Drosophila melanogaster: one gene and its partner. The protein of the gene in region 1 interacts with the protein of each later gene in a pairwise test. Each region holds a gene or a part of one and is shown in the gene's direction. Other genes may lie near its edges.

Region 1 (4,909 bases):
GCTCTTTTGTCTCGAGCTTGTTTTTAAATTATAATTACTTTAGCTTAACTTTTTGCCACTTTAGTTCCCAGTTTCTATATTGTCATCGCTAGTTGGCCGTTTTAGTTGCTCGCTTCGCTTTATTCCGATAAACAATTTCATAATTCGTATATATAGTTTTAATTTCAGCATTTTTAACGTTTAGTCTTTTTGCGATTTTTGCCATAATGACTTTGGACATTACGCGCAACTGATACGCAGCCAAGCGAATCTGTTGGACATTTGAACATTTGAGCGTGGTCTGGGCCCGTGGACATGGACATGGAGAACCGACTCAGAATGAGAATGGTTCTGGTTGGCCTAATTCCGGGGGTGGAGCGGGGACACGGGCTTCTGGACGGCGACATGGCGAATTTGAATTCGAAAGCACTTGACAGTTGTATGCACTCTCTTTCAGGAATTTCCACTTGTCACCCGGTGTCCAATTTCCAATGGAGGAATCGCTGCGATTTGCATTCTGTGATTAAACCGGTTCAGACGCACTGACTCCGGCGGATTTGCTTCATTGTTAGTCGCAAATTGATTAAATTTCCTGTTTTGAGAAATTCTTAGTGCAATTTACTTTACCTTACATACTTACTAAAAAATATTTATATTTGATTTACACCTGTTTTGCCCGTCATTTTGTACAAGCATGGGTAATACCCCTGATTATCTAATTTAATTGCATTAACATTTAACATACCAAACACTTAAACCAAATACACATTAAATTAAAAATTAATTTATTAAAATTATTTCATGGTGAATTGCAAAACTAACACTTATTCGATTTCACTTCAAAATCAATTAATATTTATTTGACAAGTCGGGAACTGACTATTCATATGTATTTTTCAAAGAGATTTGAAGGTTAGGTTTATATATATCTATTTTGACCTTAACAGAATCTGTAACTTCATCCGGGGATCGTTAGATGTGTCAACTCATTCTCGTGTTTATATCATTCTTGGGTTCCGATCCATTAGCGCAATCCAGGTACAAAGTACGAGCGTTATAGCCCTCTTTACACGGCCGACTGGGTCTCAAAAGTGGCACTAATTCGTGGATTCAGTGTTTCGGGAAGGGTTTCCTATATAGTTTTGGCATTTCATTGGATATAAGTACAGTTGTGCGATGGGCCAGGGCTGCAATTAGTACTTCCCGAAAATACAGGCTAATTAAAACCAGCTTTGCTTTCTGCTGCGTGTCACGCACACTCAACTGGGAAACAAAAGAACAGTTAGAAGAAGCATGGGTGTATTACCAAAAATCCCATTGTTATTCAAACATTACGCGAACTCTTATGGCCTACAAATCGAAGCATGTTGGGTGTAAGTAGATCAAAAGATATGAGGAATCCAAGGTAAATTAAAAGGTATCTATAGGAACAATAATCAGCGACTTTCTACGAATACAAACATTCCATTAAAGAATATTCTTCATTTGGCTTTATTTCAATCTTAGAATTATTATTTGAATTCAAACATTACGTTCAGCAAATACTAAATAAAGTTTCACTTAATTTCACCTTTTAACTGGAAGAATGGAATGAAGAAAGGAACATTTTGTTCCTCAGATCACGTCCCTTGTGTGCGCCCATGCTCCGAGCTGGCAACATGTTGCCGGTGCGATGGCCGGGAGCAACTTGTTGCCGCCCACACGCAACAACAACGAAGTTGGAAGTTGGCGATCGACGTCGACGATCGTTTTTTTTTTCTTCAACGTCGGCATCGGCGGCAAACTGGCAGCGGAATTAAATAATTTTCCGTAAGCGCGTTTAGTCAAGCTCAGTTCAATTGCGGCCAGCTTTGTTGGCGGACGTTTCAGGCAGCACTCTATACACTGTAACCAAAGGCCAAGTAGTAACGAAAACTGAAGCAAACTACCGAAACATTCTTATTTTTTAACTGTGCGAACTGTGCGAGCGGGAGGCAACACCCAAAGACAACACTCGAAGTGAAGAGTAAAACTCGAAAAGAAAATATACATATAAAAAGACGTGTGCAGTAAACAGTTGCAGTGACCGAAAAACCTTAAAATCAAAAAAAAATAATAATAACAAAGAAACACTAACGAAGAAGAACCAGCAGCAGCAGCAGCAGCAGCAGCAACTTGTTTAGCGGGGTTAGTAATTTTAGTTTTCTCAGCTGTTTTTACCAGCTTCCTAAATAGGTACGTAGTTATATTTATTTGGGTACTTGCTAAATCAAAGCAGCAACAGCTGTTTTCAATCGCGGTCACTTTCAATTTCGGTGCACTGAAAACAATGGCCCACCACTATTTTAAAAATTGAAAAGAAAAAATCGATAATTATGTTATTATTGATTATGTTTATTAGTAAATTGAAATGGAAGTGCAATGTCGAAATATTTAACTAAGTACATTCAACTTTTTGTATGTATGAGCAATAGCTTTTTGGATGAATAAGTATGACAAGGACCAAGTCGCTTCTCTCAGTGTTGGTTCGAGTTTCTGGTCGGTATCTGACGTTTCTGGTTTTTGAGGTTTCTCTGCACGTTTTTCGGCGCTGTTGTTTTGAGTGCGTCTCAAAAAGGGCTGGACAAAACAAGAAGTGCGGAGCAAAACAAAAGCGCTGGACAAATTATCCATTCGAAAAACAGTATTTAACACAACCACAAAAGCTGTAGATTTATGTATGTAGTTAAAGCCAAATTGGCAGCACAAAAGGAGGTGGCGAGAGCAACAACAGCAACAAGCGATGAAAGCGAAAACGCATAGGAAAAGGCAAACAAAAGGAGGCGTAAATACCCTAAATTATAAGAAGTTGTTTGTAGATCCTACGCAAATAAGTTCACCACTTGCAGTAAAAATTCAAAACATTTCAATTGGAAACATTTATATTAAAAAAACATTTATTAATTGCTCGTTGCAATTCATTTTGGTAGCTTAGGAATTATATTTGTTCCACCTTTCCTATTGAAAAACAGCCAAATTTGAGCTCTATTAAAATCTCAACCATTTCAACTTAAGGCGGTGCGCTTTGCTAATCCATGAGATCTGTAATGTGCATAGCCAAGTAATTATCACGGAGTGTTGTACGGACATTTTCCCTGGAGGGTATCCGTCATGGTTTTTTCCGGCTATCGCATCTAAAGTTTAAAAGTTACAAAACTTCAACGTGAGAGATTTTTAACAATTCGCCATATGAACCACGAGGGGGCGAAGAACTAACTGCAGGTGTGTAAGCATCTCAGATGCACTTGGATATATGTACATATGTACATACATATATTGGTAGTATCTTTGGAAATGTGATGAATGATAATTTCAAAAAAACTCTGGTATTTTCAAAGGATACCTCTTGTTCTATATGGTATAGTATAGTACAATCTTATTCTTATTGAAAAGTCTCTTGCCGATGTATGTAGTCTTATATAATTTTTGACTTGCGAGGTAAACAGTTAAGGGTCTGAAGCATTCTTACTGTCAAGAGAGAGAGCAGAAATGCATTATTTATTTGTGATAAATATAATTGACCAAGCATTCCTCTTGCTACCCATTACTCGTGGAGTAAATGGGTATATAAGGTTCGTTGAAAAGTATGTAACAGGCAGAAGGAAGCGTTTCCGACCTTATACGGTATATATGTACATATGTATGTATGTATATGCCTGATCTGTCTGTCGATCTCAGGATCTATTGAAGCTAGAGTGTTGAGAATTCCAGTGTCACGCCCACTCGACCGCCCGCTTAATACCGCTCCAAACTGCAACGCCCACACTTTTAAAAAATGTTATTTCTATTAACTTTTTTCCCCGCAATTTCTACCGATATTCCACTTTCAATCTTTCACTTTACGAGCTGAGTAACGGGTATCTGATAGTGGGGGAATTCGACTACAGAATTCTCTCTTGTTTTAGCTGGGTATGCGGAAAAGAGGAACAGATTTGAAATGCCATTCAAATTAGGGATATTTTCGAGCAGGATAGTAGGAGGAGTAGTGAGTTGGCCCATAGCTTAGTTGGCATTCTGGATTCGTCTTCCGTTTCCTGAGCGTCTCGCGATTATCGACGGCATTAACATAAAATCTTTTAGCATTCCGCCACCAGAGGCACTGAGTGTTATTATCAGACTGGTTATTTATCAAGACTTAATTGCATTGCAAGTTTTTGCACATGTAAGCAGCGACCTTGCTGGCTGCTGATCGGGCTAAAAGCAAAAATCAAAAAGCAACAACTTATAAATAAATAAATAAAAAGTGAGCAGCGTTTCCTATGGCCAGCCGAATGGGTTTTATAAATAAAATACGAGCATGCGGCAGAATCTACATCTGATTGGGCATATAATTATAGCCAAGTCTGCTCCGGTTCTTGCCGACTCATGCTGATCGGTTGGTCGATCGGTCGACTGGATGTGATTCAAGTTGAAGTTGGCTCAAAAATCGAAAATCAATATTCAGAAGTATAAACAGGAAAACGTGTGCGTTTTTGAACGCTTCAGTGCTGGCGATCGCGTTTTTGTAAGTCGGAGAGCAACTAATGCGGTTTCTAATACAAAGTTAAGCTATTAAATCGGAAATACGGTTAACTTATATTTTGTAACAGTAAGACATTCGTATTCCCAAGCGGAAGTTAAAAGTACATCCAGTCTTACACTGCACGCTTAATTAGAATTTAACAATATATAGAATCTCTTATAAATCACCATAGTCAAAAGTTAAAGTTAAAAACCCATTGTGGTTTTATACAATCGAATAGTTGATTGATTCCTGAAAAAGAATACCAATTAATATTGAATTAATGTACTAATGAGCTGGAATGCAGTTAAAGAGCACAGAAAAGGGTAAATCAAATCAAATTGGCATAAATATTGTACAATGAACGCAAGGAAAACTGAAAATAAGTGAAAAAAGAAATAAAAAAGCGGT
Region 2 (6,628 bases), on another chromosome or scaffold:
AAAAAATTGTCTGTTTTGGCTTGGGCAGCGATGAAGTGTGACCATATGCCGCATAAACAATCGATAGATCGTGTATTCTAGGGAAGGAACTATCGAACAAAGAGCTTAATAATTACATTTTTTTCGTTTCATATAATTTAAAAATTAAAAACATTTTATTTAGTTTAAAATTTGATTTATTTACATGACACTTAAATTCATTAACAAATGCATTCAATAACAATCTATTTGTGTTAATCAGTACTACATGCATGTGCAAAAGTCATACAAAATATGCTTTGTAAATTGGCAATCACAAGTTTCCTTCTTAACTTGCATTCTGGCTTATAAATTACGAAAAGTACACGGACCCGACCGATGCAGATATTTCAGTGTTGCTCCATTTTTAAATGTTAACCTTTTTTGAAACCTAACTACTGTAGTCGGTGCCGTTGAGCGAGTTTTTGAAATGCTGGACGACATAATCGTGATAATAGGCCATTATGCACAGAGGCTGACCAAGAATAATGGAAGCCCACACGATTATATTGCCCATTCGGGGACCCAGTTTCTTTTCAATGGATTTGGATATGGCCGATAGGGGAATCTGACCCATCATGCCCATAAATGCCCAGATCTTGTATATTTGCAAAGGAACTGAAACCTGAAAATATAAATTATATTATTGTACAAAATTTGAAATTCTAAATATCAACCCTCATACCAAATATTCATGGAAGACGGCACTGAAAAGAAAGACAATAGTAGAGGCCTGTCTTGAGGAATATCCCATTTGGACCACAGGGATGTAGAGATGACGCACGCACCACCTATGAACTGGCATGTTCCATGTACGCCAGAAGGTGTCAATGTTATTCGCATTCCACCAATCACAATAAAAATTGCGATCTGCAAAATTCAGCAGTTCGCCGACCGCATTAAGAAAAGAGTGGAACATTAGATAGAAAAAGCAGAGCCAGCAAAGATGATTGGGTAGCTAATTAAAGAAAAATTATTAAATAATACTCAAACGTTTTATAATTTTCACTCTACCAACCGCAAGTTTAAGAAGTCGCTCAGTGGCTAAGGCCACGTCCATATTGGAGAACGGAATCAGGGAGTTCCGAACCGATGGAATGATCCATTGTTGAAACAAGGCCATAACCACATTCACTCCAATCACCACCTCCAATAAACGCTTCAGCAAAAAGCGTTTGCGCACGCGAGAAGTTCGCGGGAAATTCAACTCATAGCAGAGAGTGGGCGCGCAAAGGAAGTACAGGAGATCCTTGTATGTGAGATTATCAGGATATTGCACCAGCTTGGAAACGTCCTCGTCTTCTTCACCTCCATTCAAAACTCCTTTTTCTGGATGAAAGATGAATTTTTAATATATGACATTCCGTTGAGAGATCTCAACATACTTAGTTCCGCCAAAGTTATGCTTGGTCGACGCTCCCGCGGATTCTTTTGATAATAAGTCTGACGGCACCACATATTCGTCTGCACATAGGACCATAGTTTTAGGAACAACACAGAGTAAAAGAAGCAAACTGTTGAAGCGCCCACTAAAGATTAACAGATAATTAAATATTTTAAAATACACCTAAACTAAGTTAATTTCTCACTCAAACTAAAAGCATGTCCTTTTAGGTGAATTGTTACCACCGGTAGGCAAACCAAGACAACAATGTTCACTATCTGGATGAACAAGCCCAAGCCCTCTGCAATTATTTCCTGGAAAAGAATTACAAATTTGTTTTAATTTTTAATTCATTCAGTTGGTTTTTGAAAAAAAAAAACAGGAATTGATATCATATCAAATGATACTAAATTAGTAAAGTTCAATATGCGATATTTCTGATATGAACATTTAAAATCTAAAACCATCGAATCCTAGTAACAGTAACTATAAACAATCGATATCGAAAACTCGCCCTGAGTTCCATCCCCAGATCGGCGAGCATTGTGTGCGAAAACGAATTGCGATTTCATTTCATGTTGCAAGAGTGTGGAGGAACAAGCCACGAGTGATATAAATTAAAGCAAATAGGACCATCGAAAAGAAAATATACTCAAAATGGAAGTGACAGAGGCAAATTTACAGCTGCTGGCCGGTTATTTGCAGCAGACGCTGAGCGCCGATCCCAATGTCCGCCGGCCGGGTGAGTGTGTGTGTGTAGGAATGCATGTGCACACACACAACTGCACATGCGTGCAGGGGTGCTGATGTGTATGTGCGCGGGAAATGGTTTTTGGCGACGCCAAAGAAAAATACGGTTTTTAAATCCATTTGAAGTTGTCTACAAGTTTTCCCTATGTCAAAGAATTTATACAGTCACGCTTTCTATTAATTGAATCGAGATTAGCTGATCTTGATATGACTGTTGCCAAGCCACCTTTCAAAACCATAGACCTAGTTTTAGGATTATTTAAGGCATACCAAGCCTATAGACTCCGCACCACCATAACCAAGCTTTTGAAAATATTGTATAAAAAACTTATTGCTTGAATTGAAAATATGTTTAGTCTAACGAGAAACACTGTAAGCTCCTATCGGTTCCTTATATATTTGTATTTGCAACATCCGATTTACATAAGTACAATAGTTCTAACAAACACACCATTTCCTTCTCTACTTTTATAGCCGAAAAACTTTTGGAGTCCACGGAACTACAGCAGAATTACCCGATCCTACTGCTCAATCTGATAGACAAAGCCCAAATGGACATGACTACGCGGGTGGCGGGAGCCATTGCCTTTAAGAACTATATTAAGCGGAATTGGGCAGCCCACCTTGACAGCGACGGACCGGATCGCATCCACGAAAGTGACAGGAATACAATTAAGACCTTGATCGTTACGCTAATGCTCCACTCACCGGTGGCATTGCAAAAACAACTAAGCGACGCGGTCAGCATCATAGGCAAATATGATTTTCCCAAAAAATGGCCGCAGCTTATCGACGAGATGGTGGAGAGATTTGCCTCTGGTGATTTCAATGTCATCAACGGCGTTTTGCAAACCGCACACTCGCTTTTCAAGCGCTATCGTTATGAGTTCAAGTCGCAGGCTTTGTGGGAGGAGATCAAATTTGTACTGGATCGTATGGCTAAACCTCTGACAGACCTGCTCCAGGCCACAATGCAGTTGACTAAGGTGCACGAGAACAATGCCGGCGCCCTGAAGGTCATCTACGGTTCATTGGTCCTTGTGAACAAGGTGTTTTTCTCGCTCAACTCCCAAGATTTGCCGGAGTTCTTTGAGGACAATATCAATACGTGGATGGGAGCGTTTATTCAGCAACTAGCTGCGGATGTGCCATCCCTGCGTACTGCAGATGATGAGGATGCGGGTGTTCTAGAGCATCTGCGTGCTCAAGTCTGCGAGAACATTTGCCTTTATGCAAAAAAGTACGACGAGGAGTTCAAGCCATTTATGGAGCAATTTGTGACTGCAGTTTGGGAGTTACTGGTCAAGACAAGTTTGCACACCAAGTACGATTCGGTAAGTAACAGAAACCATACGCTTTCTTAATAATTATTTTTATAATTTTTCCATTCTTATTTTGCGCACAGTTGGTCTCCCATGCTCTGCAGTTCCTCTCTGTGGTGGCTGACCGCCAGCATTATCAGAGCATTTTCGAGAACCCAGAGATTCTTGCTCAGATCTGCGATAAAGTTGTCATTCCCAATCTAGACATCCGGCCCTCAGATGAAGAAATTTTCGAGGACAGTCCGGAGGAGTACATTCGAAGGGATATTGAAGGCTCTGACATTGACACACGACGTCGGGCGGCATGTGATCTGGTGAAGACTCTATCAATCAACTTTGAACAAAAGATCTTTGGCATTTTTGGCCAGTATCTAGAGAGATTGTTGACCAAGTACAAGGAGAATCCGGCTACCAATTGGAGGTCAAAGGATACGGCAATTTATTTGGTTACTTCGTGGGCATCTCGAGGAGGAACTCAAAAGCATGGCATCACACAGACCTCGGAGTTGGTTCCACTTCCCGAATTTTGTGCCCAGCAAATTATTCCAGAACTGGAAAGACCCAACAGTAAGCCCAAATAACCATTTTCCCAATTCGATCATCTTATATCTGCATTCTTCCAATGCTCTTTGCAGTTAACGAGTTTCCTGTTCTTAAGGCTGCTGCAATTAAGTATGTAATGGTGTTCCGCAGCATTTTGGGTCCCCAAGTCTTAGCAAGCTGCCTGCCCCAGCTAATTCGACATCTCCCCGCCGAAAGCTCTGTTGTTCATAGCTATGCTGCTTGTTCAGTGGAGAAGATCCTTTCTATGCGGGATGCTAGCAACGCGATCGTTTTTGGTCCTCAGATTTTAGCACCTTACACAACTGAACTAATTAGTGGGTTATTTGCGACCCTTTCACTCCCAGGTTCCGGTGAAAATGAGTACGTAATGAAAGGTGAGTTTGGGGGACTATCTCATACGTTTCTAATATGTTAACAAAACTCTAATTATTATTATTAGCCATTATGCGAAGTTTTTCGGTCTTGCAATCGGCCGCCATGCCCTTTATGGGCGTCGCCCTTCCACGGCTTACCGAGATTCTCACCCAAGTGGCCAAGAATCCATCGCGTCCGCAGTTCAACCACTATCTTTTTGAAACGCTGGCTCTGTGTATAAAGTAAGTGTTATGCATTTTGGTGGTAAAGAGCAATAACAAATTTTCTTTTTCCCTAGAATTGTTTGTCACGCCGATTCCTCGGCTGTGAGCTCCTTTGAGGAGGCATTGTTCCCAGTTTTCCAGGGCATCTTACAGCAGGACATTGTCGAATTTATGCCCTACGTCTTCCAGATGCTTTCTGTGCTGTTGGAAATGCGCGAGGGCACTGGTACCATACCGGAACCCTATTGGGCTTTGTTCCCCTGCTTGTTGTCACCAGCTCTGTGGGACAGGACGGGCAATGTCACACCATTAATTCGCCTGATTTCTGCTTTCATCAAGCAGGGATCTGCTCAGATTCAAGCCTTGGGTAAACTGGTAAGTTATATTATACATCACAAATTTTATTTTACAGAGTCCAATCTTATGCATTTTTCAACATATATTTCAGAGCGGTATCCTCGGAATATTCCAAAAGATGATTGCCTCCAAGGCTAATGACCATGAAGGGTTTTATCTTCTCCAGAATCTGCTTTCCTACTACCCTCCCGCTGAGATTCAAACTAATCTTCGTCAGATCTTTGGCCTGCTCTTCCAGCGATTGTCTCTCTCAAAGACTCCGAAGTATTTAAGCGGCATCATTATCTTCTTTAGCTTTTATGTGATTAAGTTCAGTGGCAGTCAGATGGCTCAATTGATAGATGAGATTCAGCCTAACCTATTTGGCATGCTGCTGGACCGCGTGTTTATCACCGAAATGGGCAAGATTCCCAAGGAACAGGATCGCAAAATGGTGGCCGTGGGTGTCACTAAGCTACTTACAGAAACTCCTGAGATATTGCAGCAACAGTACGCTACTTTCTGGCCACGACTGCTGCATTCTCTAATCGATCTTTTTGAACGACCACCAGAGAAATTGATGGGTCTCGAAATAGGAGAGACAGCTGGAGTTGCCGAAGATCCCGATGCGGGCTATCAAGTGGCATTTGCCCAACTGACTCATGCCCAGCCCAACCAGCAGGATCACCTGGCTGAGATTAAGGATGCTCGCCAGTTTCTAGCAACTTCGCTCTCTAAGTTTGCCCAGGCTAGGGCAGGAGAATTTTCCACTTTGTTGTCGCCCCTGGAGCCGGAGTACAAGCAAGTACTCCAGAAATATTGTGATCAGGCTGGAGTACGCATTGCCTAAAGGAATCGACCGACTTTAAGCTCATTCATCGCAATCAAACCTCGCCATACATTCGAAAATTTATGCATACACGCACTCGATCACTCATTGCATGCCCAGTTTATTGTCATTTAAAAATTGTATCTAATATATGTAAGTTTTGTAAACAATTAAAAATTATGTTTTCCGAAACTAGTGTGTTTCAACTGCGATAACTTCTGAATATTTCATACTTTTCTCTCTGATAAACAAATCATTTCTTGTCAAACACCCTTCACTCAATTTCAAAATTGTGAATTTAGAATTAACTAGATATTTCGAAATTTATCATATAAGCCATGTTCAAGCTAATAACGTATTTCAAGTCACGATCGAAGAAAATAGGCGTGAGATGCTATCAAAGTAAGTACTTACCATGGCTAGACCCTTCTCCACAGCCAAACAGAGCGAGATATGCACTAAAGAGTCTGTAAAATATGGTGAGACGAAGGTTATCAATTTCGTTTGCGTAATCCTTGATTTTGTGCGTGCTTACAAATGCTCAGGATTAGGGCGTTATGTCCTTCGCCTTCGTTGTGTCCGCTTATGAAGAAGAACCAATCCAGTGGATTGATGCGAATGCCATACCTAAAAAAATAATGAATTAGCTAAAACTTGTATTTCTACTCAAGATCATCGTAGTTACTTTAGGAGATTCTCCAAGCCCAAACGCAGACCTCCAATGCAGAGCAGTAGAAATCCCCAGTTCACCAGTCCAGAAAAATTGGTAAATCCAGAGCTCCAAGAAAACAGAGAATCTCTTGGCCGATGGATTCTAAAAGAGGCGAAACCCTGTATTTGGGCTAAA

What was found.
Region 2: the proteins of ldd (region 1) and Cse1 interact in a two-hybrid assay, tested with the Drosophila melanogaster proteins (one large-scale study listed by BioGRID).

The regions. Positions count from the first base shown.
Region 1 is NC_004354.4:21,121,975-21,126,883, forward strand, and holds the start of ldd (lipid droplet defective), read left to right. Parts: upstream 1-1,659; 5' UTR 1,660-2,145; intron 2,146-4,909.
Region 2 is NT_033779.5:16,820,498-16,827,125, reverse strand, and holds Cse1 (chromosome segregation 1), read left to right. Parts: upstream 1-1,918; 5' UTR 1,919-2,059; coding exon 2,060-2,144; intron 2,145-2,626; coding exon 2,627-3,486; intron 3,487-3,557; coding exon 3,558-4,041; intron 4,042-4,109; coding exon 4,110-4,412; intron 4,413-4,477; coding exon 4,478-4,634; intron 4,635-4,690; coding exon 4,691-4,991; intron 4,992-5,064; coding exon 5,065-5,802; 3' UTR 5,803-5,970; downstream 5,971-6,628. Other genes in the region: mdy (midway), read right to left, coding at 410-643, 704-976, 1,037-1,347, 1,404-1,547, 1,608-1,716, 6,196-6,248, 6,317-6,408, 6,467-6,595; CG13280 (uncharacterized protein), read left to right, coding at 6,120-6,183. UniProt on the Drosophila melanogaster protein: Export receptor for importin alpha. Mediates importin-alpha re-export from the nucleus to the cytoplasm after import substrates have been released into the nucleoplasm.